Linked DNA regions of Coturnix japonica. The protein of the gene in region 2 purifies or fractionates together with the protein of the main gene of each other region. This does not show direct contact. Links are inferred from orthologs where the notes say so. Each region holds a gene or a part of one and is shown on either strand. Other genes may lie near its edges. The genes, in order: RANBP1, RCC1 and XPO1.

Region 1 (10,268 bases), on a different chromosome or scaffold from region 2:
ATCTTGTTATGGGGAAGCAACCAATTTTGAAGGCAATGATGCAAATGTAGTTCATTTAGCAGCTCAGTATCATCCTTACTTGGAAAAATGCATGAGGAGAAATTCTAAACTTCAGGCCAAGAAGTTCTTCATAGATGTATTTATCGCCAGCCACGTGCTCCAAAGGCAAATCTTCCAGATTGGGGGATTTCCTGGGAGGGGAGAAACAAACAAAAAAGCACATAAGTCTACCTGTTGCCATCTTTCCCAAAGCTGGAGTCATCTTCAAAGCAATACTGCTGGATAGATCCCAGATAGTAATTTATAGTGTGCAACACCAATCGTGTTCTTTTACAGAATGTCGTCTTGGACGTTTTTTCTTATAATTCTTATTCTATTTATACGCAGTTGGGTCTAAAAAGAGGCAGAACTTGATTGTTGAGAGCAAATGGCCATCTGGTGCAGCACACTCTTCTGCAGTGTGACAGTTACCCAGTCAGAGGGTTCACCCACAGGAATGCCATCTGCCTTTCTCCAGGCACCGCTACAGGGACGCGGAGGTTTCAGTTTTGTGGGAAAGCTTAATAACTGTTTGGCTAATTAGTAGCGCTGCTGTTACCTTTAGGAACTAGAAACAGGTGAGCTAAGGGTGTGGAAGCGCCACCGATGTTACTGTTAACAAAACTGCCACCACCCAAATTCCCCGGGGCGAAGCTGAGTCCCGTTACCTTTGGCCTTCCTCCACAAAGTACAGGGAGGTAACACCGCTCTCCTTCCCCGTCCCTTCAGTGAAGTGTTTTGCCAGAGCGGCCTTCAGCTCAGCTAGCTCTTCTCTGCTTAATTTCTAAAGGTTTCAGTGGAAAGGAGGGAGAATAATCACCTTTGTGACTTAAAAGAAATGATTTACCACATGCCACCTGTACAGAAGCAGTATATAATAGAGAAGATAATTTACTGATGTCAATTAATTGCTCATTTACATGTACTGGATAATTTTAAGTAGAAAAGTAGTACCAAATAACTATTCCATTTCTCTTTCACATGCACTGTTTGGAAAATCAAATTAATGTAATTTAAAGCAGTGTGTCGTGCATCTCAAATACCTGAGGATTAAAGTAAACGATTGCCATGATGTGGCCGTTCCTGCTGGTTCGGACCGTGAGCTGCTTCCAGTGACCTTCGTAGGTTTCTGGGCTGTAAACTGAGTAAGGGGTTGACCTGCAATGTGCAGCAGCTCAGTAATTTAACAAGGAACTGTTGTGAGGGAATAACATTCAATAGTTTACTGAAACAAAAGCAGCTCAGCAGGTAAAGTGATGAACAATATTAAAGCAGAGGCTACATTGATTGCAGAGAAAAGAATGACTTCCAAATCTTAAGGAAAAAAGGACAGATGAAGTAGATCCTGTCTCCTCCTGCAAAACAATCTGCCCTTAGCTCTTCTCAATCCTCCTCCGCTTTAATCCATCCAAACTGACAGAGAGCACAGGCAGCCCCTCACCATGGTCTGAAAATGAAACACTTTAAGAACCTTAACAGCAAGTTGAGCTGCCCATCTTCACAATTATTTGGGGGTTTCAATTGCTGAGGATTTAACTGCTTTTCAAACAAATCACTTATAAGAAAGCCCTGTTGCTCAGCAATCAATGTTTTAAGGTTGTCTTGCAGGATTCAGCCAAACAAGCAGCTAATTTACAACTGTCCATAGTTAATTCTATGAGTACTCTTCAGTATCTGGGACATCAACACTTTCACAGATACCCCATTTCACTTTTGCTCACCTTATGTAGTCCTGAAAAGCCTTTACTACTTTTTTGGCAGCAGCAGGAATGTGAATGGTATCAAACGGCTCCACCACAGCACAGGTACCACCCTTGTATTTGCCAAGACGACAACCCACAGTTTTGTCTTCTTGATTTACACCGATCCCAATCAAGAACTCGCATTTGTTGCGATATTCGGTCTAGATTTAAAATAAAGTTACGTCAGAGATTTATACAGCACCTCCTTGTCAACTGTTCCATCCTGGAACTACTCTCATGTGGCTGCAGGTACATTTCAGATACTCATATACTCATACACGCCTACAGGGCATTTCAGACAGTCCCAGACTTTGGTGGAGGGGAGCTACTGGCCATAGTGATAAAGCACCAACAGGATCTGCAATTCCAACAGCAAACTCCTGCGCTCCCTGCACCACACTTACACTAACTACAACACACTGCTGGGGACAGCACAGTATTTAAAGGCAGATTGTTCTGCTTCTTGCCAACTTTTCCAGGCACTGTTTACATGAAAGGCAACGATGCCTACAGCTGGTGATTAACTGACAGAGGAAGAAAAACCCTCACTTGCTTCACTGTCTCTTATGACGGCTGCTTGAAGGCTGAGCTCCCAGAGCGTCCCGTTACCTGTAATGGTGAGGCCTTCACTCCCTCCACAGGGCAGCACATCCTGTTGTACTTCTGCTTCTGCAGGAACAGCCAGGGCAGCAGCGCTCTGTTGGTATTTCCAATTTCCCTGCCCGGATCAGAAACAACAATTAAAAAGTGTGTGTTTGGAACGAGTGAGGTTGACAGTTACAAAAGACTTTTTCTTATCCTTTCATGGCCCACAATGGACATAACAAGTTACCAGAGGAAAAACTCTTCTCCTGGAGGAAACCCACGTTTTAACAGGGGAACAGATCTCTCAAGTTACCAGACCTGCAGCCCCAGGAAATGACACTTTGTACAACTTTAACTCTATGTACCAGATTAAGAACGTACCCAGCGCACAGGTGGGACTTTATCTATGGGATTGAGGGAAATGATGGAACAAATACTTCGATCTACAAAGACTGAGCTTGAAAACCGAGGGGATAATTTGTAAGGGAATCCCGGTGGCACCGGGCCATCTCTGCACAGGCCCTTTTGTGCTGGCATCCTCAGGTGCCCGACTGCGGGCTGAGGGCGGCGTTACTTGGTGCCATGACTTGGTGCCATGACTTGGTGCCATGACTTGGTGCCATGACTTGGTGCCATGACTTGGTGCCATTACTTGGTGCCATTACTTTGCCAGCTTCTGCAGCAGCTGCTCGCAGTCCCGGCGCTTCTCGTCCAGCTGCTGCTCGTAGGGCAGTGCCCACAGCGGGGTCACCACGTCCGCGATCCGTTTGCTGACGGGCTCTGCCGGCTCCGTCCCGGTCCCGTCCCGCTCCTCCTGCCGCCGTTTCCTCGCCATGGGGTCGGCTTTGGGCTTGGCCGCCCGTACTCCGAGGGCCCGGCCCTTCCACGCGGCGCCGTGCAGGACCCGCACGGCCTCGTCCCGCTCCTCCTGGCTCTTGAACGTCACGAAGGCGAACGTCTGTTTGCCCAGCAGCTTGATCTTGTGCGGGCTCAGCCCGAACTTGGCCAGGAACTTCTTGACGTCGTTGAAGCCGATGTACTTGGGCAGGTTCTGGATCTCCACTTTGTAGATCTCGGAGGTGAACAGCTCCGCACGGGTGTACCCGTACACGTCGGGGCCAACCTCGGCCGCGTCCATGGCGGGATGGGGCGGAGCGGGCACGGAGCGAGACGGGGATGGAACGATCAGCAGCGATGATGGTGTTCAAATACAGCGGCACCGAACCGTGCGATCCGACCCGGTACAATACAGACAGCGGCGGGCTCAGCGCTGCAGCAGCACGGCCGCCATCTTGGGACGGGACGGCACGGCCGGGGGAGGGGGAACGGGGAGAGAGGAGGGGAGGAGAGCGGGGCTGCAGGGCCGGGGGTACGGGTGCCGGGCGGGGCTGTGGGCGGCACCGAACCGACACGGAACCGAACCGACACGGCACAGCAGCACACGGACACACGGACAAACGGACACGGACACACGCGGCCCAGCACCGCGAGAGGAGAGCAGGGGCGGGGCGGGCGGAGGGCAGGGGCCGTTTCCCATCGTGCCTTGCGGCGGCGCGGGCTGCGGGAATGAGGTAAAGGCGGGAGGGGCGGGAACGCGGCAGGAAGAGCTGAGACAGCGGGAGAGAACGGGAGGATGGCGGATAATAAGGTGGGGAATGGGAACGGGGGGAGGGAAATAAGGGGGGGAAGGCGGCGGGGGAGCGGGCCGGGGTGGGGGATGGCGGTAACGGAAGCGGGTGGGGGCCGCGCGGGGCCGAGGCCGCGGCCCAGGCCCGGTTGTGGGCCGAGCTGCGCGAGGGCGGCTGGGGCAGCGCTGCCATGGGGAGCAGCAGGAGCCGCTCCGCTCCGTTCCGCTCTATTCCGTTCCGTTCCTCTCCGCTCCGTTCCGCTCCCCGGGGCCGTTTCTGGCTGTTGTTGCCGTTCCCGCTCACTCCTCGTTCCTTCCCGCAGGGCCCCACGTGTCGCCTGTCGCGATACCGCCCTGCCCGCTCTGCACGTGGCGGCGGGGCCCGGTGTGCCGGGGGCGGGGCTGCGGGGCCGCTCCGCTCCTCTCGTTATCTCGTTATCTCTCGTTATCTCGTCGTTATCTCGTTATATCCCGACGCTGTATGGCGGCTCCGTTCAATCTGAACGTTCCGATCCGCCGGGGCCGCTCGTGCCCCGCAGCGATCGCCGATAACCGAAAGTTTTTGCCCCGTTCTTTCCCGTCTTGTCTCCGTTCCGCACTGAGCGCAATGCAGGCCCCGTGTGTGTGTGTGTGTGTGTGATCCGCCTTTGTGTTGTCCCGGCTGCGGCAACAAAAAGGCACGAACCGGTTCTGTCCCCCCGAGATCCATGTTTGTGGCCTCGCTGAGTTTGCGGAGCGCTTCCCTTGAAGGCTCCTCACTGAGCGCCCCTACCAGCACAGCCGTGTGCCCTGTAGTCATGGTACCGTGCCATGTAGTCGTGGTACCGTGCCATGTAGTCATGGTGCCGTGCCCTCCTCACCAGCTGCCCCTGCAGACTTCCTGAGCCCAGCAATTGTGCGGGCAGACCCCGAGCAACTGCATAGGAAGCCTCATGTTGGCCATTTACCCTCAATGAAAAACAAGGCTCCTCAAAGAGCGTTGTGTTGGAGGAAAAAAACTTCAGTCACTTCGCGAGTGTTTTGACTGTGCTTCAGAAATCTCTGCGGCTGTGGGGAGTTCTGACACGTAGGATGAGAACAATGAACTTCTGTTGCCTGTCTGGATGGACTTGGGCTGGTGGAGGTGGTTTCTTTAGTGATGTTTTTCCCCCCCATTAACAATAGGTTGTTAGTAGCATTAAGTGCATATACTGGAAAAATGATGGGGAAATGACTTTTCAGCAGCCAAAGGCCAGGACAGTAGAACAAAACCAGCATGAGGCTGCTTCTTTCTTAGTCTAACTGCACATCGACATAAAGCAATTAATTTTCACCTGTGAATATTGGTTAATTTTAACACATATTTCAGTTGCTGAGATCCAGTTGCTGAGTAGTTGTGAATGTAAGTGTGCAGCATGTTTAGCTTTCTTTTTTGTTTTCCCCTGTCCAGGAAGCACATGAGGAGCACGATACCTCTACTGAAAATGCAGATGATTCCAACCACGATCCTCAGTTTGAGCCCATAGTTTCCCTTCCAGAGCAGGAAATAAAGACTCTGGAAGAGGATGAGGAAGAGCTCTTCAAGATGTAAGTAGAACACTTGTACGCATTATCTGGCTGCTTATTGTACTCAAGCTTTAATGTGTTACGAGAAAGTTGGATGACTTGTTAGGAATCTCTGTATGAAGTGGCAGTGTAAGTTCACTGCTATTTACTTTAATGGCAGAGGTTGAGTTGGGGAGGTCTGACAGCACTGTCCCCAAGGAACTGATGAAGGTCTGGAATAGCATGAAGGAGATGGTGTCATGAATCTGGTTTTAGTATTGACTCTTTTATCCCAAAAGAAAACATTAACTTGGATAATAAATAAAGTTTTGAAGGTATGTGATACTGGTCTAAAACTTATAGTGCAAAAGGTATGGAAGACCAGCATAGGATCTAGGCACATTCCAGACAAAGATCTATTTGGAATCACACGGAGTAGCCCAAGCTGGCGGGGACACACAGGGCTCATGGAGTCCAACTCCTGGCACTTCACAGAACCACCCAAGGTTCTTTCAAAACATTTTCTCTTTCTTGCGTGGCTTAAAAACATCTGCTGTACCATACAGGTGGATGTGTTGTTTCAGTAAGCTGTTACATACAGGCTAACTTCTCACGTTCTTCCTTCTTTAAGGCGAGCAAAGCTGTTCCGATTTGCATCTGAGAATGAGCTTCCAGAATGGAAAGAACGAGGAACTGGTGATGTAAAACTCCTAAAGCACAAGGAGAAGGGAACAATTCGCCTCCTCATGAGGAGGGATAAAACTCTAAAAATCTGCGCAAACCATTACAGTATGTTATGTGTTACTATACTTGCTACTGTTTTGTGTGTGTGTGTGGTTTGTTTTTTAAGTAAGCTTGATGGAGCTTTATACATTGAAACTCAAGAGCCCGGTGGCTTTTAGCAGTGTAGGTAGAGAGATGCTGCCTCTTAAAGCAAGTGTCCAACTTACAGGAGACTATAAATGCTGTCATTTCTTGCTCTGTCCACAAAAGCCATGTATCAAAACATGAGTTCTCATCTTTATGGATGGAAGGAGGCTGTAGTTTTGATGATAACCTGCAGCACTGAATCTGGAAGTTCTTTGTTTCAAAGAGTGCTGATGTTTGAAGACACTTTGAAATGTAACTGGGATGGACAAACACAGTGTCATTGATCCCAGTGCTTTGTTCTTTAATGGTCACAATGTGGGCCTTAGTACTGTTTATTATAAAGAATGTTTGCTGACTTTTTCATAAAAGAATGAGAAACTATTACCAAATTAGTCTACTTTGTAGCCTTGGTAATACTTTGTTATTGATAGAGCATTTAGTATCTTTGAGGTTAAGCTACATTCAAGTAGTTTGAAATAATTGCTTAAAGTAACAATGCAAATCTGAGAACAGAAGCAATGATGTTTATTTTTCTATGGGCAAACCTTTGCAGAAGGTCAAAGACAAATGCAAAAGTAGCACAGTCACCAACCAGTAACAGTAATCAGCCTTTTCTTTAGGGAAATGTCCACTTAAATTGATGTTTGTCCTGGAAAGACTTTTTGCAGTATACATTTTTTTTCCCTGAATTTCTGGTGATGGGCAGGCAGACAGAAGGACCCTTTTTCATTCTTAAGAGCATTAAATGAAACAGCATAATTCCATCTCTAAATATATTTAAATACATGCAAGGAAGTGAGTTGGCTGTCTTTAGATTTCTCCTGAACTAAGCACAAGAGCCAGGATTTGGACAGGGAGAAGCAAGGAATGTACGTGTCTGAACTCTGTGAGGGCTGAGTGTGTGAGCAGTAACGTTGAAACTCCCCCAGTCAGTTGGGTTAGAGAACTAAGTGTAGGAATAATAGTTTTTCTTGTAGTATACCATATTTGCAGAGTGCAAAACAATGTTCTTTTCCCCTCTGAGTGCCTTTTCTTCCTAAACCATTTGACTGCTCCTTAGGATTGTGCTTAATGCCTGCATCTCTTGGGGTAAGTATAGAAGTCATTTGTTTTGGAACAGAATTAAGATGCACCGTAGTGAATCTAGCAGTCTTTTGTACAGGAATGGCATTGTGTCATTGTATTGGAGGGTGCAAAGGATACTGCTGGTGTTTTTTTATTTATCCATAAGTAATTCTCTATAAAATGCATTATGTAAGCAACAAATCCTTCAGATTTATGAAGGCTGGTGTGGACAACATATATTACTGTGCTCTGTACCTCTTTTCATGCTTGCTTTTCAGTCACACCCTTAATGGAGCTGAGGCCCAATGCTGGAAGCGACAGGGCATGGGTCTGGAACACTCATGCTGACTTCGCAGATGAGTGCCCCAAGCCTGAGCTGCTGGCAATCCGGTTTTTAAACGCGGAAAGTGAGTGGACAGCTGCTGAACTTGTTGTATTATACTCTATACCGCAAACCACTGTTACATATGCTTCCTTGCTGCTGCCTAGTAGCATTAGCTCATTGCTGCTTTCGCTGAGAGAAGTTGGAGACGTATTTTACTATGTGTTGATGTACGGTATGACAGCCAGGTCCTCAGTAATATTTACAGAGCTTTATGCTCTTGGAACCTTTTAAACTTAATTTTTTTCATGCAAACGTAATGCTGACTAAGCAGGTGGCAGGTGAGCAGATGTGAGTCAGCCCTTCAGGTGTGTTTTCTGGGATGCTTGAAAAGGAGTTGGTATTTCTTGAACTAGTTCACAGTGGCCTCTGAATTTCCTGTAGGGCAACAGTGACCTCGTGTGGTCAGTCATACCGAGCTGGTGTACCAGGTGCTGTGTGTATGGCTATAGTGCTAAGAAGTACCTTGACTGATGAGTCTGGCAATCTATTGTTGCTTGTATTAACTGTGTATAAACACTGTTTATGGCAACTTAGGGCAAAACATAAGAACAATCAAATTTCCTTTGCTATTGTAGTCAAGATTAACTTGAATTCCAGTCTTTGTATCACTAGTACAGTATTCAATGTTTATATTCAGCATTTGATGCTGAGACCCAAAGTTGTAGTATGGTTGTGAGTTCTTCTGGGGTGTATTGCAGTGGAGAAGGACAGTAGTTCATAGCTAATCTTCAGTCTTCTGTGCATGGTAATATTAGGATACTGGTGTATTCTTATTTTTGTGGGGCAGGGACAGCTAGGAGTTGTACTGACCTCGGTGTAGTTCCTTCTGGAGTCTTATTTGAAGTATTTTGAAGGTGTGAAGAGGCTTTCTTAGACTTGCTGCTGAAGATCTGCACAAAGAAGTGGCTGAAAAACTTTCTAGAGCTTTTCATTTGATCTTAAATTTGATGACATTATAAGTACCTACAAGTTTTTTTATACAATGTCTGATTTTTGAGGGAAGATAATTGAGAAACAGTCAGTGTTGGAAGGAGACAAAGTTAATGAAAAAATATTCTGTCTTTACTGGAACAGATGCACAGAAATTCAAGGCAAAGTTTGAAGAATGCAGAATTGAAGTAGACAAGAGAGCAAAAAAAGGTAAGAGTTAAGTCATAAACGTTGTGCCTCTTCTGTTTGAGTGGTTTTAGCCCCCAGTGTATCTCTGTGCTTGAGCAGACTCACTCTGTACCGAACTGCCGCCTTCAGTTCAGGTGCTTTTTCTGTCTGCAAGAGTAATCACTCACAGGCGTGATGAGTTGCCTTCTTTCTTGTGGAAGGCTGTTACAATTGCTATTGGGACATTGCTTTCCTTTTCTCTTTTTTGGAGCTGCTGCAGAAGTGCTTTCAGTTTATAGCACACGAGTGAACTGCGAGCACTCTAACCACAGTGATATTTCCTCCTTCCAGTTCCCCATCCCACATTCCACAAGTACATAAGCATGGAAATAGAACATTCAATTGTTCCTTCTGTATTTAAAGTGGTAGCATTTCCTCACGGGCCTTTATTGAATATCTTAATGCATTGTATGTACAATTGTCTGTTACAAGATAGCATATCTTGTGAAATAAACACTTCCATCTTCCTAAAGTACAGGTTACAAGTATTTGGTGATCAGTGCTATTGAGATTCAGATCAGAATCCTTCACTCTTAGGAACTTCGTGTCTGTCCCAGTTTCAGACTGGGGAGGTGGAGTCTCGGGAAGGGGGTGGTTCTCATTTGAGGTAGACAAGAAGCTGCAGACTTGGGAGATTCCCTTGACTGGACATTGTATGGACTCTGTTACCAGTAACACTAAAGCTGACCAAGTGCTGTGTTTTGCTGTCACTATATTGGACACTCATTTAGTGATTAAAATACTCAGGTGGTATTTCTTGAATTCTGACAGTGGAATTGGCAAAAAAGACAGTGAATCACCCCAGTGCTCAGTGGCGAGTTTCTTTTGCTCTTGCTCTTGCTCTTACTCTAAATACAGGCTGTCTCTCTGCCCCATTCTCTTCACCTTCCATGTTACTGTTCCTCCATTGCAGTAAAACTGGCTACTTCCTGTGTGTAACGTTTCTTTTCCCCTCATCAATCTCTTAGCAGGCACAGACAAAAACGATAGTGCCGATAAAGTTGCTGAAAAACTAGAAGAGCTTTCTGTAAAGGAAGAGAGCAAAGAAGCTGAGAAGAAAGAGACCAAGGAAAACGAAGAGAAGCAATAAATCATCCTGGGCCTTGCAGTTTTTCTTTATATTTTTTTCTTTTTTTTATTTTTACAAGGGACTTTCTAAGGAACTGAATTCACTGTTCAGGTTGTTTTTTCTAAGCTTTTGCCCTTTTGAAGATGTCTTCAGAGAATCCATTCCCCAGTCATGACAATGTACTGTGCTAACTTTCTTTTCCAT
Region 2 (10,302 bases):
GCTGCAGGTTGCTGATCCCCCTCCAGCTGCAGGCAACCTGTGCTGTCCCACCCCTTCAGCTGGAAGGGCATTGCACAGGGATGCTGGCTGTTGCTGTAGTGATCAGACCCAGCAAGCTGGGAGCTGTAGTGAGCTGGGAAAGCAATCCCTAGGGGAAGCACAACTGCCAGTGTCTCCTTTCACTGTTCTCAAGCACTGCAGTCTTCAGTCCTATCCTGCCCCTCTCCCACTCCGCAGGCACGCTGGCTAACAAGGTGAAGAGGAAAGACACGCTAGCTATGAAGCTGGGGAACACCACCACAGTGCAGGAAGAAAAGATTGTCTTCCCTCGGAAAAGCAAAGAGGAGTGGAATGAAATTCGGCAGCAGATCGGGACGACGCTGATCAGGTACAAGGAATGGAATGGAGGAGGGTGGTGTGTCTGAACCACGGGCACGAGCTGCTGCTTGTCTAAGCAGCCTCTGCTGGAGCATGGCAGGTGGCTGGGCAGTGCTGCTGGGTCAGGGCTGGAGGCTCAGTGTTGCTTTTCCCTCAGTTACCAAGGCTGGAAGTCTCTCCTGGAGCAGAGCACTTGAGTAATGTCTCCTAACAGGGCTGTTTACAGATGTTAAATGCGTTGGGAGGGGAGAATCTCAAGGACTACAGTAATATCACTGCTGTAAAATACAGTTGACATATAAAGATGTGAACAGCTGTGTGCTGCGTGCTGATGCTCGGGCTGTTGATATTCCAGCCTCTGTCGGCTTGTCTGCACTGAGAAGTTGTCCCTGAGCTTTTGAGGGGCCACAGCGCCTTCCTCACTTGGGCCTGTGGGTGAGCTGCTGTTGGAGTGGAGTTGAGCCTAAAGCAGGACAGCAGTGGCTGGTGGTCTTTGAACCAGACTGATGGATGAGCAGATAACACATTATGCACTTGTCATGCTTTTCTTTAGGCGACTGAGTCAGAGACCCACAGCAGAAGAACTGGAGCAGAGGAACATACTTCAGCGTGAGTAGCACAGCTCTAGTGGCTCCAAGTGGTAAAAGCTGCCTTGTTTTGCATCTGACATTCTAGTCCAAGTGTACGTGGAGTCTGCTTGAAATGTAGCCATGGAGGTCTGCGCTTTGCTTACATCGCTGTACTAAAGCCATAGCAGGGATAGCACACAGTCCAGTTCAAAGCATCCCGTTATGGAAAGGCTGTCCACCCCCTGACAGCTCAGGGAAAGGTGTGCAGATTGATTAAGACTGCTCTGAAATGGCACAGCAAAGTTTTTGTTTGGACTGTTTGTCTTTGTGGCTCAGACATTACAGCATTGTACTGCATGATCCAAAAAGTTCATTGTTCAGTGAGCGCTGTTTCTTTTGGCCATACCCTCTACTGCAAAAGCTTTAAATAAACATATTGGGGAAAGGGAAACATCAGTTCAGGAAGCTTTACATATTTATCTGCGCTGCTTTTCTCTTCAAAACTCTTCCTATAATAGCTTTGGGGAGGAGTAATCTGCAAAGTGGTTCTGAGGGTACGGCCATTAATCTTAAATACACAGAGAGCTGGGGAGAATGACTCATTCACGCTGTGTCAAGGCCCACCAGACCACTGTCATTGAGCGGGGTGTTGCTAAGCAAAGGTATTAACGGAAGGTGCTTTTCAAAGCCTGTGATGCTAACAGGAAAACAACCTTTGTTTGTTTTTTCCACTTGGCAGCGAAAAACGAAGCTGACCGTCAGGCTGAGAAGAGAGAGATCAAACGTAGGCTGACCAGAAAGGTACTGCTGGCTCTCGTGCTGCGTTGGCCATCTGGCAGAGCTGTCGGGGTTGGTGGTGGCCGTGAGGTGCCTGGCTGTGGGTGAAGTCACGGGGCTGTTGTGTAATTGTCCCCAGTGCCCTCTGACCGCGGGTGACTTTGGAATGCGGGTTGTCAGAGCTCTTGGCACCACAAACAGGTTTGGCGCTGACAGATTTGAGCTGGCATCAAGTGTAACAAGCTAGATGAGGACTCAATTTGGCACCTGGTACTTGAAAGGGATGCCGGCCTGTCCATAGAACTATCATTCAGTGGCTGTGATGTTCACATCAGGCTCCTTGAAATCCATTTCCAAACAGCTGGAGAGAAGTTGTGCAGAGAAACAGCTGCTTTAGCTATGGTGCCCAGGTTGCACACTGCTGTTACTCATTGCTGGGGAAGAGCTTCCCATGAATGCCAGTGTCATGGTGAACAGGAGCTTGGTTCTGTGGCCCAGGACCAGTGAGGGAACTGCTCTTTGCCGTGCATGGTGTGACTGGTCCTGAGCTGCTCTAGAGACAAGGCACAGACTATTTTCATTCTTGTCTTCAGCTTAGCCAAAGGCCTACAGTAGCAGAGCTGCAGGCCAGGAAGATCCTGAGGTTCAACGAGTATGTGGAAGTAACTGATGCTCAAGACTATGACCGGAGAGCAGATAAGCCATGGACAAAGCTTACACCTGCTGACAAGGTAACAGGGAGTGCCCTGGCCCCGGGGAAGGGCAGGGAGTTAGAGCAGATGTCCCAAACAAAAGGGTGAGAGCCAAGGTGTGAATTGCTTGTTCTTTCCACCTCTGGCACCCCCACTTACTACCACCAGTTTGGTATGGGGACTGCCCAGCCTTGGTTGCAGAGGAGGTGGAGCAGGTTAAACAGCCTGGTGTGAAGTGACTGCGAAAGGTGGGAGTGGCTGCTGCAATCTGAGCTTCTTTCTTTACCAAAAGATGCTGAGGGATTCAGGCTTATGTGTAAGATCTGCTGTAACTCTTCCCTTTACCAGCAAAAGGCGATACAGATCAGCCCAGAGCAGGAATGCTGGAGCCACAGCGCCTCCCTGCCATATCTGAAACTCACTTAAAATGGGGGATAGGAGATAACAGGAGATAACAGCTCTCACTCTCCTCTTGCAGGCTGCCATCCGGAAGGAGCTAAACGAGTTTAAGAGCTGTGAAATGGAAGTCCATGAGGAGAGCAAGCAGTTCACACGGTGAGTGAGCACATACCATCACAGTGCCTATAGTACCAACCTTAGCAGGGTGTGCTGTACCTCCTCAAGGATCATGGAATGCTGAGATTCTGCTTTTAGGCTCTATATGTCCTGCTTATCAAGGAAAAAGACAGAAGTAAAATGTGCATCGTGCCCCCCATGGCTGAGCTGTGTTGGCAAAGCACAAGAGCTTTGTAAGGCAGAGATGAAAACTTTGGATGTTAACAGCTTTTTTGCAGTTGGTAATGCTTCAGTCAGTGCTTAACCCAAGTTCCAAGGGTGACACTGGCTTTTTCACTTGGCTTTTAGGTACCACCGACCATAACCTTCCAAGAGGGAACAAGAGACCCAAGATGCCTGGAAGTTCTCTGCATCCCTCACCTGGGCAATACAGCGAGGGCACAACCTCGACTCTTCCAAGATTTGCCTTCAAAACGTATCCAGCAAAGGGCTTTCAGCCAGGGAAGGGGGATCCTGTCTGAATGTAGCATTTCACTGGAACAAACAAGTCTCGAGTGCCATCAGGCTGGAACTGAACACTATACCTCGTGCAGCTCAGCAATAAGCCTCTCTTCTGGCTCCAGCATCCCTGCCAGAATGCACACACACAAGCAAAACGGTTCCTTCCCCAGCTTCCTGTGGTGCCAGGCCCAGTTCTCAGCTGCACATATTGTGAGCAACCCCTTTGTTTCTTCTTCCTTACCAAGAGGAGAAAAACCAGCTGGCAGCTCTGGTGCTGTTGAGCCAAGGAATGGAGGGCAGATGTACTAGGAGACACGTGTGTAGAGTTACTGGTGCAGACGCTGTCCTGGCAGACAACTGCCATCAGCCTTGTTGTTTTCTGGCTTTGCTTCCGTCTGTTGTTACCTTTCATGTCCTGAATCACTACTGACCAACGGTTTGTTGTCCTGGAAGGGAATTGTATAGAAATTAACATATGCTGCGTCTTTTTGGTTTCGTTTTGTAAAAAAAAACCCAGAAAAATGAGCAAAAAAAAGAAAACACAGAGGTATAAAACATTCCCTCCCCACTCTCTCACGCTCGCTGTGATGTCAATGGATCTCATGGAGGTTAATAGTGCTCATAGAACCCAGAAATGACTGTTGCCTTTAAGAACTCTTTGATTTGGGGAAGCTGTGACAGCAGTCAGTGCTTTCCATCGCAGCTTCCTCTCAGCTCTTTGGGTTATTTTTTACTCTCCCAAATCAGGGTTGAATTTGCCTTGTCTCATTTTATTTTTGTTTTTACAAGCAAAAAACCTACTGGAAACTTGATATTGATCACTGTGTGAGTGGGAGCTTTAAGAAGTGACCTTAAATCGTTCATACAAACTCACCTTATGGCACTGAGCGTGAAGGGACGATGGCAGCACTGTGGGAAGGCCTCACTGCGCCAAGGCCTGAGGTAGGCCGCGGCCCTCACAGCTTCCCCGTGTACAGAATGGGCTGTAGACTACAATCGCGTTGTATATCTGTCTCCTCAAACAGATTTTAATTATTGAATAAAAGTATTTTAGGAGTTTTGGCTTTTTTTTATCGTGTTTAAGCCGCCCGGTTGTGTTTCGGGCGCCATCTTTGAGCGCGTGTGTGGAGACGAACACAACCGCCCTTCCCGCCGTTCCCGCCTTCCCGCCGTTCCCGCCCTTCCCGCTCACACCGAGCAGCCAATCACCGCGCTGTGCACACGGCCCGCGCGTTCCGCTCACTGCGCCTGCGCAATTAGGCCACGCCCACCCCTCACTGTATAAATAGCGGCGCAGCCCTGAGCTCGCTCTCTTCTGGCGGCGGACGGCGGCGTGAGCAGGTGGGTGGTAGGGGGAGGTGGGCGGGGTGCGGCCTAGTCTGGCCTTGCTTTCCTTTGCGTCTATACAGCCTGTTTTCTGTTTTATTTCCTACTTGTGATGGTTGGTAGGGCCCACACTCCCGGCTCAGCCGGCCCTCACAAGCGTTGTTCTCCCCTAGGCCGGCTGGTCGTGCTGCACTGCGGCCTAACCCCGCCCGCTGCCGCTGTGAGTATCGCTGCGCTCCGCTTGTATGGATGGAAACGGGGTTGGATGGGGGGGGATGACACACATACACAGCCAGAACCCAACGAGGGCACCCGGAGAAGTAGCTCTCTCTCGGCTCTGTCCGCGTGGCGCACGGGAGCGTAGGCCTGAGGGCCCGAGACGTATATTCCCCTTCCACATCGTTGGAGAACAAGCCGGGCCTCGTGCCTGCAGCCTGCATATTCCTACTGCTTCTCTGAGCCCGTCGGGCAGTGACAGAGGAGATAAACCATGCAGGAAACATCCGTACAGAGCGGCTGTGGGGCACGTTGGGGGGTGGAGGGGTTGTGGGGGGGGGTTGGCTGTGGGGCACATTATGGGGTGGGAGGGCTGGCTGTGGGGCACATTAAGGGGTTGGGGGGCTGTGGGTCAGCCCCATAGCGCTGTGTGGGGTGGAGGGCTGGAATACTGGGGTTGGGGGGGTGGCAACATGCAATGGGAGCACGTAAAAACCATTTGGGGCTTGGAAGTAATGAGGTTTTCTTGATGCTTTTGTTAATGCAGATGCTGGAGATCCGTAGTTAAACGGCAGCAGCTGAGTCTGTGATGGTGAGTATGAACTGAGCACAGCGTGTGAGTGACCACAAATAGATGGATGTAAGTGTGACGTCCAGGCTGCTCGGTGGAGGTTGGAGCAGTGTGGAATGGGGGGGGGGGGGGGGTGTCAGGCCGTGCTGCTCCCTGCTGCTCCATTGCCCCCCAAGCGGCGTTGATTGATCCAGGGGGGCCCCTCATTGCAGCTGGGGGTGGTGTGAGGTGCCTTGTTGTATCAGCTGGGACCTGCAGGTCTTTATACAACGTGTGTGCTGCAGCCATCAAGGGGGCTGAGGAAGGGAGGGACCATTTGGTTGGGTGGGGGGGGTGAGGGGCTGCAGCTGGGGGGGGGGGGGGGGGGGGGGGGGGTGTTTGCTGTGTGTCACATGGGAGCTCTGGATTCTTCGTTTTATCTGTGCCTGCCAAATAAATGATTTTAAAACGCTGCCGTGTGGTTATTTCCTGTGCTGTGGGTCATCCTGTGTATGGGGGGGGGGGCTCCAGAAACACTGAATAAGTGGAGTTATTCGGGCTGTGTGTGGTTGGGTCGCCCACCCCTCATTGGGGCTGTACTGGGAGCTCGGTGCCGTTTGTAAGCAGTGCTGTGGGGCTGAATGGACTCTATGGGGTAGCAGTGCTGTGGGGCTGAATGGACTCTATGGGGTAGCAGTGCTGTGGGGCTGAATGGACTCTATGGGGTGAGGGGGGTGTTGGGCCTTAAGGCTAAAAAGCGATTCCTGCTGAGCGTACTTAGGCGTTGTTTCCCTCTGTTAAGCGAAGGACTTAACGGCTGCTTTTATCCCCGTTGGCTGCTTTTATCGGACCTTTGAACGTTCGGAACCGGACCGTGAGTAGCTTTGGTTGATGGGAAGGTTCCCTACGTGGTTCGGGGAGCAGCAGCCCGGCTGTAGTACGGGGAATAGGGGGGATGTGGGGGGCGTTAATATGGGAAATGGCTTAGAGAGGGGAGAAGGAGCTTGGGGAAGGGGTTGTTAAAGGGGGTCTTGGTGGTGGGGGGGTGAAGGGGAACCGACCCCTGTGGAAAGGGGGGTTGAAGGGGCGATGAGGTGAGATACCGGCCGGGCATTGCGGGTCTTAGCTCGCGGTGTTGGGGGCTTTTTAGGCTCCTCAATGCGAAGATCCCCCCGGGCTGGGAGGGCCGCTCCCGTGCCCCGAGGAGGCGGCGCCGGTGCCCGTTACCAGCAGGGGGCGCTGTGCCGCTCGCCGCGCCTCGGCGCATGCTCGGGGCCGGGAGCGACGGCGGCGGCGGAACGGAGGAGGTGGGTGCGCGGATGTGGGGGGGGGCGGGGGGGCACGGAATGGGGCTGGGGGAGGGGGGTGGGATAAAGGGGAGAAGGGGGAGGGGTCCGTATGGCCGTGCCGCTCCCGGAGCCGCTCGGTTTGTCCGCTGGTGCTTGGAACAGGCCGGGCCTGCGCGGCACCACGTGGGGTGGGGAAGTGGTGGAGTTTGGGGGGGGGGGAGGTAAGCGGGAAGTTCGAATCTGCGGCCCCACGCGTGTCCGGTGCTTCATTCAGCGGGTGGGTGCATAAAGATGGCCCCATTCAGCTGGCCCTATTCAGCTGGCCCCATAAAGCCTCGCTGGCCCCATTAACCCTCGCAGCCCCCCCGGCCCCTTCCCTACACCGTGCGGTGCTGGATGGGATCGGGATGTGGGATGTACCCAGGGAGCTCCCACGTCCCCAGCCGTGGTGGGACACCATGGTGGGACACCGGACACGGCCCCGTTCTGCAGCTCCACGTGGGGTCGTTTCACGGTGGGATATAAAGGTGAGAGTGATGTGTGTTCTCTTAAAGCTGGAGGACAGATCGGAGGCTGAGTCCGGACGCGGTGCTGTAACACAGTGAGAGCCGGGCTGGGGACAAGCAGGGTTTGTGTCCAGCACAGCCGACCAACAGCTGCAGCTCAGCACCCTGCGGGCTGGGCAAGGCCTGAACAGAGCAGCTTTCATTGCTCACATCCATCCGACATGTCTGCGAAACGTGGTGCCAAGAAAAGCCTCGTGTTGGAGAAGTCTCCTGAAAGGAAGAAACTCAAAGGTAACGCAACCCCACGGGGGGCTTCTCATCCCCCTCCATCACAACCCCATGGGGGGCTGCTCATCCCCCACCATCACAACCACACGGGGGGCTCCTCATCCCCCTCCATCACAACCCCATGGTGGGCTTCTCATCCCCCTCCATCATAACCCCATGGAGGGCTTCTCATCCCCCTCCATCATAACCCCAGGGCAGCTTCTCATCCCCCTCCATCACAACCCCATGGGGGGCTTTCAATCCTCCATGCATAACCCAGGGCAGCCTCTTCGTCCGCTCTATACAGCCCCACGGGGGGTTCCATCCCCCTCCATCATCAACTATGGGGGGCTTCTCATGCCTTCATCAGCCGACTGGGGGTCCTCATCCCCCTCATCACACCATGGTGGGCTTACTCGTGCCCCTCATCGAACCCTACGGGGGGTTTCCTCAATCCCTCATCACACCCAGGGCAGCCTCTCATCCCCTCATCTCATAACCCATGGGGCTTCTCATCGCCTCATCTAACGCCCAGGGAGCTTCTCATCCCCGTCCATCACAAACCCATGGGGGCTTCTCATCCCCTGCCATTCCATAACGCCAGGGCAGCCTCTCGTCCCCTCTATCACAGCCGCCACGGGGGGTTTCTCATCCCTCTCCATCACACTATGGGGGGCTCTCATCCCCTTCCATCACACCCACTGGGGGCTCCTCATGCGCCCTCCATCACAACCATGGTGGGCTTCTCGTGCCCCTCCATCGCAACCCTACGGGGGGTTCCTCATCCCCCTCCATCACAACCCCAGGGCAGCCTCTCATCCCCCTCCATCACAACCCTACGGGGGGTTCCTCATCCCCCTCCATCACATCCCCACGGGGGGCTTGTCATCCCCCTCCATCACAACCCTATGGGGGGCTTCTCATCCCCCTCCATCACAATCCCATGGTGGGCTCCTCATCCCCCTCCATCACAACCCCATGGTGGGCTTCTCATCCCCCTCCATCATAACCCCATGGGGGGCTTCTCATCCCCCTCCATCATAACCCCAGGGCAGCCTCTCGTCCCCCTCTATCACAGCCCCACGGGGGGTTTCTCATCCCCCTCCATCACAACCCTATGGGGGGCTTCTCATCCCCCTCCATCACAACCCCATGGGGGGTTCCTCATCCCCCTCTGTTTTCCCATCTGTCCTTTCTGCCCTCAGTCTGCCACCCGTCACATCGCACTCAGCCCGGCCTGGTGCTCGTATTGGGTCAGGGGGATGTCGGACAGCTGGGCCTGGGGCAGGATGTGATGGAGAGGAAGAAGCCGGCCCTGGTGCAGCTGCCGGAGCTGATGGTGCAGGTGGAGGCAGGAGGGATGCACACCGTGTGCCTCAGCGAGACGGGCAAAGTGAGTGAGCTGTGGGGGCATGTGGGGAGCTGGGTGGGGGGCTGAGGGTCCCCTGTAAGCATAGGGAGCTCCAGGAGCAGGGGTTGAATCATGGCTGGGGCTGCAGCCTCCCTAAAGCTCCTGGATGGTCTCTGTGGTGCCTTGGAAACATTGGGGTGTATGGGAGGGGGGGGTAATTCAGCCTGGTGGGTCCCCTGGTTTCATGTGCTTCCATGTCCCATCGTAACCACATCCCTCTCTTTATAGATCTACACCTTTGGTTGCAATGACGAAGGTGCCCTCGGGCGAGATACCACGGAGGAAGGCTCAGAGTGCAGCCCTGGAGCCGTGGAGCTGCAGGAGAGGGTGGTGCAGGTCTCAGCAGGGGACAGCCACACGGCTGCACTGACGGATGACGGCAGGGTGTTCATCTGGGGTTCATTCCGGGTACGTTGGCTGTGTGTGTTGGATGCTCTGCTGCTGGTTGCTGGGAGGTATCACTGACTCCTATATGTGCACCCATCATCTCTTCTCCACCCAGGATAACAACGGGGTGATCGGGCTGCTGGAGCCCATGAAGAAGAGCACCATCCCTGTGCTGCTTGAGCTCAATGTGCCCGTTGTTAAGATTGCCTCAGGTCAGCAAAGGGCCCCCACTGTTCAGCATTGGGTGAGGGGTGAAGGTCCAGAGGGTTCCTTCCCTATTTGCTGTGCTGAGCTGGGTGAAAGGATGGGCTGCTGTGTCTCTTGTAGCCCCTGTGGTGGTTTAAACTCAGATGGGGTCAATGATTAACACATTTAGCAGTTAGTTAGGAGTTATTATATACAGTTTGGTTGGTTGAAAACGCTTTGCAGTTACTGCCCTGTCACAGCACAGGGTCAGGGCACTCACCCTCTTTAGATATAGGGAAGCCAAACAGAGCAGCCAGGGAGTTTGCCCGGGATCCAGGTGAGGTTGGAGGCTTCCTGTGCCTCTGAATGATCCATCAGGAAGGGATCTGAGGTGTGTCAAGTGATCCAGAAGCCACAGAAACCTGGAAAGCTTGGACAGATGGGGCTTGGGATGTGGGATGTCCCCTTGGTGGGCTCTGGGGGGTGACTGCAGCACTCACTTTCCATGTCTCCTTACAGGGAACGACCATTTGGTGATGCTGACAGTGGATGGCGAGCTGTTCACGTGTGGCTGTGGCGAGCAGGGCCAGCTGGGCAGGGTGCCTGCACTCTTCTCCAACCGAGGAGGACGGAAGGGGCTGCGTGAGTGGTTTTGGGGCTCAGAAACAATTGGGGTTGCAGAAAGCAGGCTGTGTCATTGGGCTCTGGGCAGAGCTTTGCTGAGGAGCAGA
Region 3 (9,651 bases), on a different chromosome or scaffold from region 2:
AAATGTTCTGAAAGACTTTATTTGGAGATATACATCTGTTGGGATGAAGGATACTTTTTTCTTCAGCAATCTTCAGAAGCACAAAAGGCAAGGAAAGCAAAAATAGAGTACAACTTCAGATAGCAATTGTATCTGTAACATGTTCAGCTACCTACTGCATCTGCTCAGATGATAACAACCAGCCAAACAGTACTACCATGCCTACTAGTAGTGAAGCAAAAATATAAAACACCATCTCAAATTCTGGAGATCATGTCTAAGTCACATATGCATGATTTGGCATCTGAAATCCAGATGTGATAACATGATGCAATGTATGGCCAAGCATCACCTCAGCACCACCACTTACACATTCTATACATTAAGTATTATTAAAACTTGAAACCACTTCTGTACTCTATTTTAGGCACTTGTTCAGTCCCAAACTATCAAATAAGTCTCTCTCTTCATCTTCTCCCATTTGACTGTAGTTTCCTTCAATAGGCATCAATCAATAAGCTGACCATAACTAATTCAACTTACTGATTCCTCCCTGCTTTGCTCCAACAGCCAAAAACTTTGAGAAGATAACTTCTGAATGCTAAAGATAAGTATTCATACTCAGGAAAATGGAAACCCGTGACATTTTAAAGTGAAAACGTAAGATCTTCAGGTTTCTCCCTCAGTTTCTCAATATGGCACAACTGCATTCAACCCCTTTTGGGTTTTTTTTTCCTAGAAGTCTGTAAGGCTGCTTCTAATAGAATTAAGTGAAGCCTTTTCAAGAGCTAGGCTACATCTGCCACTCTTTGAGTGGAGGTAAAGAAAATATTCACAAATGTTGAAGTCCCCCTCTCCAAAAATGAATCTTCACTTTTACTATCACATTTCATCAATAAACTGGCAGTGAAACTTCTGATCACATCTTCACAATGTTAGAAACAGCTCACAGCAGAACACAAATTCAATTGAGTTGAGAAATCAGTATTTAATAAAGAAGAACAATTACGGAATGGTGACAAGTTTTGAAAGTAGTTCTACTTAGTGTTTCTGGAAAAAAAATGTTAAGAGGTAACAACAAAAACCTCTTCCTACCTTCACACTGATTCCTCGGAAGAATCTTCCATCTTGTTTTTATCACATTTTCCAAGATTTGAAGTCCATAATACTGAAATTGGAGAATAGTAAAATGTGAGCATGTTACTGTACAACTAACTCACTGTCAGGATTTTCATTCAATCAGACATTCACATGTAACATCTACGACTTCAAGAACATTAAACTAAAAAAAACTATTAAATATGTCTATTCACCCATTTACTCAAGTTTCATGCATTTTTTTTTCTTTTAATTTTTGCTATACTAAATCCTGCTGTTTGATCATGCTCACACCAGAGAGGAAAAAAAAGAAAGAAGCTCTCTGGTAGACAATTTTGGCCTTCTGGAAAGGAAGAAGTGGCAGCCAGATATGAATTTGCATCATAAATGACTGTCCATACATTCAAGTACTATCACAACCAGGCTCCTAAAATATTTAGCAGCTTGGACGGTCTCAAGTTTCCTATCATTTCTCTAAGAGCTGAAAAAAAAAAAAATAAAAAAAAATCATGTCTCATCATCACATGTTCTGATGCTGGCACTTTCTAAGGAAAGTATTTCCCAAACTTCACTGGTGTGTTACTTTAGGAACAGCAAGACATCCCACAGGTTTATTCAACCTCAATACCCACCCCAATATGGCCAACTATTTCTACTATTTAAAGATGAACTTTCGTGCTCAGTCAAAAAGTATGCTTAAGTTCTTGGAAATTATTTTTTACCTTTCAGGAATTCCTTCCTAGGTTCTTTGCCAAGAACGTTCTATTTGCAAAGGAATTGGTAAGGACGCTCCCTCTGCCCATTTGTCCCTACTGTCAACTCATAGTAACAGGGAGAGAAGTTTTGATGTGATCAAGGTATATAAAACCCCATTAGCATGAATAGACAGCAGAGAAAGGGAGATGAGGAATTTTGCAATAGTTTTATCAGCTTAAGATTAGGAAGAATAAAATAAATCACATCAATACCTGAAAGGTAAATTCATGTTTATACAGTTAAAATTTTGGCTGAGAATAAGAGTTCCTCTTTAAAATGGTTAGTTGTTATATAAAGTAGGATCATTAACATTTCAACCAAAGGGATCACATGGACTTCAGCTTAATAAAAAAACACACAAAAGAAACAACAGAACAAAGCACAATGTAGGTTGTCCCAAACTACATTGTTCTATTAAAATCTTTGCTGTTTTCATCTTAACATAACCTACATTCCCCACATGCTTTCCTTTGTGACCCAAAAACCTCCACTAGATTAACGTGTAGATCCTGGACCTGCAAACCAGTGTCATCTTTTGAGATGCTGGGGCACAGATTAAAAAAAAAATTGAATCTATGGAAAATCATCAAGGTATCTTTTTTATTTTTCTTCAGTGTAAGCAATCGCAGTTCATAAACTGGATTTTAATCTGTAAGTTAACAACAGTTATTAAACACAAAAGCTAAATTAAATCAAGGAAGCATTAATAAAGAAAAATATATGAAAACTGTAAGTTGAATGTTTCACAGGCAGTGATGCATAAATGCCATTTTGTACCTGACCTACACTAACAAAACATTTACAGAAGCTTCTAACAACCTTGGGAATATGACTACTTATGTAAGACAGGGTTAACTGTCCTGAAGCAGAAGCTAGTTGTTTTATTTCTAGCTTGTGTAGGCACACATATTAACAGACTTTCCATGTTAACAGTTAAACAAAAACGCTGTTTGTTTCCAAACATTATTTTCCACAAGCCAACTTAACTGACTTTAAAAATCAGAATGGCATTTTACAAGAATTAAGAAATTTTTTAGAAACTACGGACAGAATTCATCTTCATTCTTTTTCTCTCCCTTAGAGTTTCACTGAAGTACTAGAGATGTCTGTCCTTTTCTTTAATGAAAGTTGCCATACTTTTTCCCCATTATGCACTGAAGAACCCAACTTAAAATCATTTCCTTAGAAGCTATAAAAGTTCACTTTCTATGTTTCTACAGAATTTTGCATGTTTTCTGAGTTCTGTCTTCTGCTAGTCTCTTGTTCATCTCCTCTCACCTCTGGTGCCAGTATTATTCATTTCTAATACTTGTGAGGGAAATGAAATGGGAACAGTAATAAAATCACCATAAATGACCTCTACTCATGCACCTTTATTGCCATGTTGTGTTAAAAGTATCGTGTGCTGGCTTTCTTCGTTGCTGTTGCTGCTTTTAAACTGAAGCTACTTTCAATTGAGTGGCTGCAAAAATTTGTGTTATCTTTATACCAAGGAAATACCAAAATCTCAAAAAAATCTCACCACTGTCAATTTTAAGTTCTGCCATCTGAAGTATCAGAGGTATTTTCATTAATTCATCAAACAATATGTGCAAACATTTAAACTCAGCATAAAACAGAAGCCTTTCCAAAATGCATTTTCTCTTAGTTTATTTCTAATTGTTTAGCAGCAATTCACTACCAAGTTATGAAGATGAGGGACAGGTAACAGCAAAGACTGAAAGAAACCCTATAATGATCCCTATGGTAGAAATTTCTATGATACCCTTATTACTTACTCTATACACCAAATCCCTTCCCTCCCACCTCCCAAGAAACAAAAACAATTGATGAACAGAATTCAGTTAAAGGGAATCAAAAGGGTAGACCTTGTGGAGGCCTGCCGTCAAAGCCTAGCTGTGTCAGTTGCACAGGAAGACACCCCTTTTCTTCCTATTACAAGCAATCAACATAATGGAACATTATGATTAATATCAGGTAGTGTTAACAGCTTTAATTAAAGAAAAAATATGATTGCATAAAAGCCAAATGTCATAGTGCATAAATTTAGCACCAAATCATTTGCAATTTATGTAAATGGAAGAATTCTTTACCTGTTGCTTTCTTTCTGTTCCTCAAATCATCTCATTTTTCACAAGACAAATTTGAGTTTTTAAAAATACTGTTGGTAAATCAACTTAAAAATTAGTAATGTCTGTCAGTATAATAAGCAAAGTTTACCAGGCAAGCAAACAGGCAAACACTGTTACTTAATGGTTAGCACTTTGAGGAAGTTCTTTAAATTCTTTTTTCCTAAACTTTAAAGTAATGAAATTGAACTCTTTCACAAATACCTCCTGAATTCAGAGACCATCCAACCATGATTATTTCTTTTCCAACACAGTTGCGTATCAAGCAGAAAACCATGCCTATCAATTACTTAGGATAATAATTATCAAACTTAAGACAGTGGAAACATTTCAATCAACTTTTCTGTTCAATCTGCAGAAATCTTATTCTAAAGTAAAACCTGTAAAGGTATTGTCAAAAACTGAACGCTATCCCTTTGACACTATCACGATGGATTGATTTACAATGGCAGTGCAAAGCAAGTTTGTTTTCTATATTAGTAAAGACTAATCTCATACTACAACGAGTTTGAGGTGCTCAACTTTCATCAACTGTTCAAAATAGTGGCCTGTTTCTATTTTGTCTTCAATACTCTTAGGGACAAATTATCTCCTCAGTTACATGCACATGGCTCTCATTCCATCAAAGACAGCCAAGCACTTAACCAAGAACAAAATGTAATGAAAAGCCTCCTAGAGCCACATGTATACACCGATCTTTGAAGTGGCATTATGCATGTATATGTGCCTTGAAAAAAAAAAAAAAAAACTTAATTCCAATTCAGTTCTTCCTTTCTTTCTTTCCCTTCCTTCCTTTGAAAAAGGAGGAATACTCTTGTGAACATAACAAAAGATTTAAATATTTTGTCCATTTATAGTTTCTGTTTAAAGCCACCTTTGGTAATAAGACAACAAAATTGTGGTTTGAATCAAAAGTCTATGGCTAAAAATGAGATACCTTCCTCAAAGTTCAGGAGTGGAAGAAAGATGAAAATCAAATAAATAAAAGTTTATTTGCTTACTTTGGTATTCATATTCTGAGAGAACTCCAAAATAGTATCAACTCTTGTCCATGCATCAGGATGTTCTTTTAAGTGAGTCAAGACTTCTTGAGCCATTCTTTGCTAAAAGAAAATTTGGAAAAAAAAAATTATGATTATTTAAGGAAATATATATATAGTAAAATTAAATATATTAACATCATGTCACCTTTGAAACAAGTATTCAAGACTTAGAACAAAATGAGAAGCAACAGATCACAGATTTCCTTCTGTCAATTATAGCTTATTAACAATCAAATTCAAGAAATGCACTACTGCAAGATGGTCACTGACTTACTTCCACTCCTCCATACAGAACGGTCAATCTAAATCAATACCAAACGTAAGAAAAGCACACTCAAGGAAAGTATACTAGAGATGGAATCTGTCCTCCTTTCAACAAATCTAGATAAAATTTTATCCAAGGGCACCCTAGCTTGCTTTCTTGTTTTATTCTGAAGAACAACTGAGCAGAACCAAAACTCTCCATTTACCCTATTTGAGAGGAAACCCATTATGTATCCACTAGCTTAGAAAAGCAGAAACTACTTGGGGGGCAGCAGGCCAGCTGGTCATGCTAGTCCTTAGGTTTTTCCTTGAGACTGACACTGCCAATTACTAGATATCACAGCTGCAATAACTTGCAAAACCTCATCTGAGCCAACTACGCATAAAAACAGCTCAACTAATTTCAGATATCTTTTTCAGGCCTGCATTTTCATAAACATCCGTTTTAGAAAGCCTAATGTTAGCCATTTTTAAAGATGCAGTATACCAACAAACCCTGCTGTAAACTGCATCGCCTACAAGCACCGGACAGACACTGCCTTCCAACAACATGAACATCTTCCAAGTTACAAGAAACAAGTAACGTGACCATCAACAGAACTCATTCTTTCACTGCAGGGCAGATCCAATTCAATGGAATTAAAGCAGTTACCACTTTAACTTCCCCAGTTACAACTTTATTACAGATAGCAGATTTCTAGTTAGTTGCAAGAGTGTACTTGAGCTGCTGGGGAAAAAGGAAACATCTACATGCCTTCCCTAACACAGAAACCCCATCAAGACTCAATCAATAAGAGATCAAATAAAAATTCAGAGCTGAAACAGTAAACAGCAAGGATATATGAAGTATCTATGAGATATCAGCATCTCTTCTTAAGACTACTCGCTATAGTAGAGCATTCCACAGTCTAGCACCGACTTTGAATTGCACATCCTGGTAGGTGCCACATCCACTAATACCACACATACATTCATTTTTACTTAAAAAGGCAGTACAACCATTCTCATACAGTTCCACAGAGGTAAAATATTCAGCAATTTTGATGTAGTTCAGCTGTACTAAGAGGGAAAGAATCATTTCCAGGCTCAACTTGAGCACTCTTTTATACTGAACCTTCTTAGTGCTTCTAATACAGGTGACGTATCACAAAACCAAGCATCAATACCAACAAGAAACATGGTCAATATCCTTCTCTCAGGTCCTATAAAATACACTCCCTTACCCACTAATATCTAACATGACTGGACAGCATCTCCTGTTACATGCAAGCAGTAATGCTTGACCAGGACTGAAGCCTCTGTTCTGTTGCCACAGAACGGAAAAATAAGCGAGTACAACCTTTCAGAGCACAGGACAGTCTAACAAACCAATAGAATGTAAGTGTCTGTGATGAGCAAAGCTAAACATCTGTCTGAGCTGTCTCAAAACTTATCACCTGTTGGAGCATTCTTTCTTTCAGAAAATACATGGGGGGGAAAAAAAAACAAAACAACAGCTAAGAATAGAAAAAAAATCTCCAAGTCTAGGAAAGAACAGCTTGTATTTGCCTACAACAGATCTTCGGATAGTTTTGCAAGCGGTAGTAAGAACTAAGCAAAAGACAGGAGATATTCAGAGATGAGGGGAAATGGCCTCAAGTTGCACCAAGGTAAGTTTAGGTTGGATGTTAGCAACACTTCTTTACAGAAAGGGTAGCTAAGTACTGGAATAGGCTCCCCAGGGAGGTGGTTGAGTTGCCATCCCTGGGTGTGTTTAAGAGCCGTTTGGATGTGGTGCTCAGGGATATGATTTAGCAGAGGGTTGTTAGAGTTAGGGTACTATGGTTAGGCTGTGGTTGGACTTGATGATCTTCAAGGTCTTTTCCAACCTGGGTGATTGTATGATTCTAACTGAATGCTTACTCAGTAATGTAATACTTACACGTAACTCACTTAGTTTAAGTAGCTAAGTTTACTGAAGTTCACAGCTTGCAGTCTAAGGCTTTCACCAAGTTAAAGAAAGGAAGGTCCCCAATTCTAGCCAGAGGATAACAGATTCATCCCTCAGCAGGAGATACTAGCAAGTTAATCAGTACTGCATCCCTGCCAGCATACAGAGGAAGGATCCAATGAGGAATAAGAAGGCCCCGGTTCCAAACATTACTGTTGGTCTGAACGCACATGTAAGGTGTAATGCTTGATCCTATGATATACAACAGTTTTAAAACCAGTAAGAAGGTCCAGTATAAAAACTTAGAAGAATTTGACCCAAACTCAGGTGTAGTAACCCTACAGTTGGAATGAGTGGAAAGAACTGTATGCTGGAATCTACAAAGGGCATTATCTCACTGGAGCTGCCCTCCATAATGGGGCTGCTAACTGCGAGTGGATAAAGTCTCTGGTGGTATGAGTGGGACCCCATGAAAGATGAAGCAAGGGCTGATTTAGGTGGCACAACTCCTAATGCAAGAACAATGGCAACTTGACCACTATGTTTAGGGTTAATCCTTTAGTCTTAGGATACTACAAGCACCATCTGCATTTAACTGGCAAATTTGCTATGCTGACTTAAGAGAACAAAAATCTCTACTATTGAAAGCAAAAGCTAGAAGCAGCTTTCTGTGACATCATAATTTTAAAACCTAACACTAGTAGCTATTTGGGATGTTGGAACCTGAAATTGCAAGTGTCTCAAGAAAATAACCATGGGATTTTAAACATTGGAATTAACATTAGAAAGCCATACACAAGCGTTTCATTAAAAATACACAAAGTATGTACAGGCAAGTATTTTTTTGTTTATTCTAATAGTTGGAAGGAGAAAAGCAAAGGCATCAGCTACTCATCTCATTAATTTATTTTTACTGTTGCACAATAATACACAAGTAATAGTTGCTTGACACTGAAACTCTCCATTTCTTAAGCACGGACGATTAAAACTTGCTGTAAAAGAAACTATGCCAACATCCTTGGTAGCAATACATGCCATCAACATTGAGCCTTCCTTCCCCCATAGTTCAAAAAATCAGTAAAAGCAACATGTATGAGATTCAGTTTCAAGACAGGATGCTTGCACACTCTCTCCTCAGACTTCACATTAAGGCCAAAGAATAGCATGAGAATAACCTGTGTGCAAACACACACACACAAAAAAAAAAACAGTAATATGGGGAAAAAAAAATAGATAAAAGGGCAAAATCTCTTAATGCCTCTAATATGCTTCTTCGTAAGTATAAATATCCTAACACTACAAATATTTTTCTCTTTAATATAATCCTTCAGTGAGGCCAATACTGAGTTTCTGACTTCACAATCCCATCCAGAATAGTAACAGGTAATTCAGACTTTCCTGAAACACTGAGGTACAGGGGGTGAGCCGCAAGCAAAGACGCTCATGCTAAATTGCACTTACTCATCTCTTCTAACAGAAAAAGGCAAGCAAGGTACAAAAACACACTGAACTAACATTTCAACATTAACTGCATCGGGACTACTTTAAACACAGGCATACAAATCACCAATTATATTCTTGTCACCAGCACAGAAAAGCCATTAAGATTAGTATTTTTACTCAAGTAAATTAATTTTGCTCAACTGATTTGCTGCTACAGTGTTAAACACAGTCCATAAACACAGGATCCAAGTTCACGTTACCTGTGCACCTTCTCCATGGTACAAGCAGTTCACGACATTGTCCAAAAGATTGATATCCAGTTTCTGATTAAAATCCAGCAGCTGACGAGCTGCATGGTCCGCTAACATTGTCATAATTGCTGGCATAGATTACTGGAAGAAAAAAAAAGATTTCTTTGATCAATAAATTTATTATCAGACACAATCATGTAAAGTGATGCTTCTAAAGCACATCATTTAATTGACACAAGCTATCTCAGCAATACTGAATGGCACAACACTCCCACCACTGCTAAGCAAGCGACAAACCTGTACTTAAAATTCATACAGTACTACCTTAACCCACCTCTCAGGGTGTTCATCCAGTACAATGTACAATGGCAGTTTAACCAGTGAGCTATAGAATCAAGCAAGCTAAGCAACTGTTTAGGAAGTAGGCAGCAGCCCCTACTATTCTCTGAATATCTGTAAATGTGTAAGTTTGATAGACCTAGCATTGCTACAGTCAGAACACATCCTAGTGACTGCAACAGATTTTTAAGCTTTCAAGGCAAAAGTGCACATCTGCAAATCCAGCTCTGAAAGCTTCTCAATGAACAGTTCCAGGAGTGAAACGTTACCTAGGTACTTGGTAAAAGTTAAACAGACCATCTTTCGTTTGCTTGGGAAAACAGCTCACAAACCCAGAAGCAAAAAATTATCACTGAAATTAAGAGAGGCATTCAAGATGTGACACTTGAAGGCATTCCACATTAGAGCACCTGGTAGAA

What was found.
Region 1: the proteins of RCC1 (region 2) and RANBP1 purify together in Homo sapiens (affinity purification with mass spectrometry; 3 studies listed by BioGRID and IntAct, counting the BioPlex papers as one, with this or other methods). This does not show direct contact. The link is inferred for Coturnix japonica from reciprocal best matches to the Homo sapiens genes RCC1 and RANBP1.
Region 3: the proteins of RCC1 (region 2) and XPO1 purify together in Homo sapiens (affinity purification with mass spectrometry; 3 studies listed by BioGRID and IntAct, with this or other methods). This does not show direct contact. The link is inferred for Coturnix japonica from reciprocal best matches to the Homo sapiens genes RCC1 and XPO1.

Annotation. Positions count from the first base shown.
Region 1 is NC_029530.1:1,020,873-1,031,140, forward strand, and holds the start of RANBP1 (ran-specific GTPase-activating protein), read left to right. Parts: upstream 1-3,891; 5' UTR 3,892-3,999; coding exon 4,000-4,014; intron 4,015-5,422; coding exon 5,423-5,559; intron 5,560-6,148; coding exon 6,149-6,306; intron 6,307-7,730; coding exon 7,731-7,859; intron 7,860-8,911; coding exon 8,912-8,977; intron 8,978-9,051; exon of another isoform or gene 9,052-9,185; intron 9,186-9,963; coding exon 9,964-10,085; 3' UTR 10,086-10,268. Other genes in the region: TRMT2A (tRNA (uracil-5-)-methyltransferase homolog A), read right to left, coding at 80-191, 708-823, 1,083-1,197, 1,761-1,942, 2,391-2,499, 3,032-3,504. UniProt on the Homo sapiens protein: Plays a role in RAN-dependent nucleocytoplasmic transport. Alleviates the TNPO1-dependent inhibition of RAN GTPase activity and mediates the dissociation of RAN from proteins involved in transport into the nucleus.
Region 2 is NC_029538.1:1,925,517-1,935,818, forward strand, and holds the start of RCC1 (regulator of chromosome condensation), read left to right. Parts: upstream 1-4,702; 5' UTR 4,703-4,774; intron 4,775-4,932; 5' UTR 4,933-4,979; intron 4,980-5,058; exon of another isoform or gene 5,059-5,264; intron 5,265-5,430; exon of another isoform or gene 5,431-5,522; 5' UTR 5,523-5,567; intron 5,568-6,327; 5' UTR 6,328-6,399; intron 6,400-6,675; exon of another isoform or gene 6,676-6,832; intron 6,833-7,072; exon of another isoform or gene 7,073-7,091; intron 7,092-7,368; 5' UTR 7,369-7,541; coding exon 7,542-7,611; intron 7,612-8,792; coding exon 8,793-8,980; intron 8,981-9,226; coding exon 9,227-9,406; intron 9,407-9,500; coding exon 9,501-9,597; intron 9,598-10,090; coding exon 10,091-10,213; intron 10,214-10,302. Other genes in the region: PHACTR4 (phosphatase and actin regulator 4), read left to right, coding at 238-388, 932-987, 1,687-1,748, 2,318-2,455, 2,895-2,971, 3,281-3,296. UniProt on the Homo sapiens protein: Guanine-nucleotide releasing factor that promotes the exchange of Ran-bound GDP by GTP, and thereby plays an important role in RAN-mediated functions in nuclear import and mitosis.
Region 3 is NC_029518.1:5,191,295-5,200,945, reverse strand, and holds part of XPO1 (exportin-1), read right to left. Parts: intron 9,035-9,651; 5' UTR 9,029-9,034; coding exon 8,903-9,028; intron 5,066-8,902; coding exon 4,964-5,065; intron 1,148-4,963; coding exon 1,075-1,147; intron 1-1,074. UniProt on the Homo sapiens protein: Mediates the nuclear export of cellular proteins (cargos) bearing a leucine-rich nuclear export signal (NES) and of RNAs.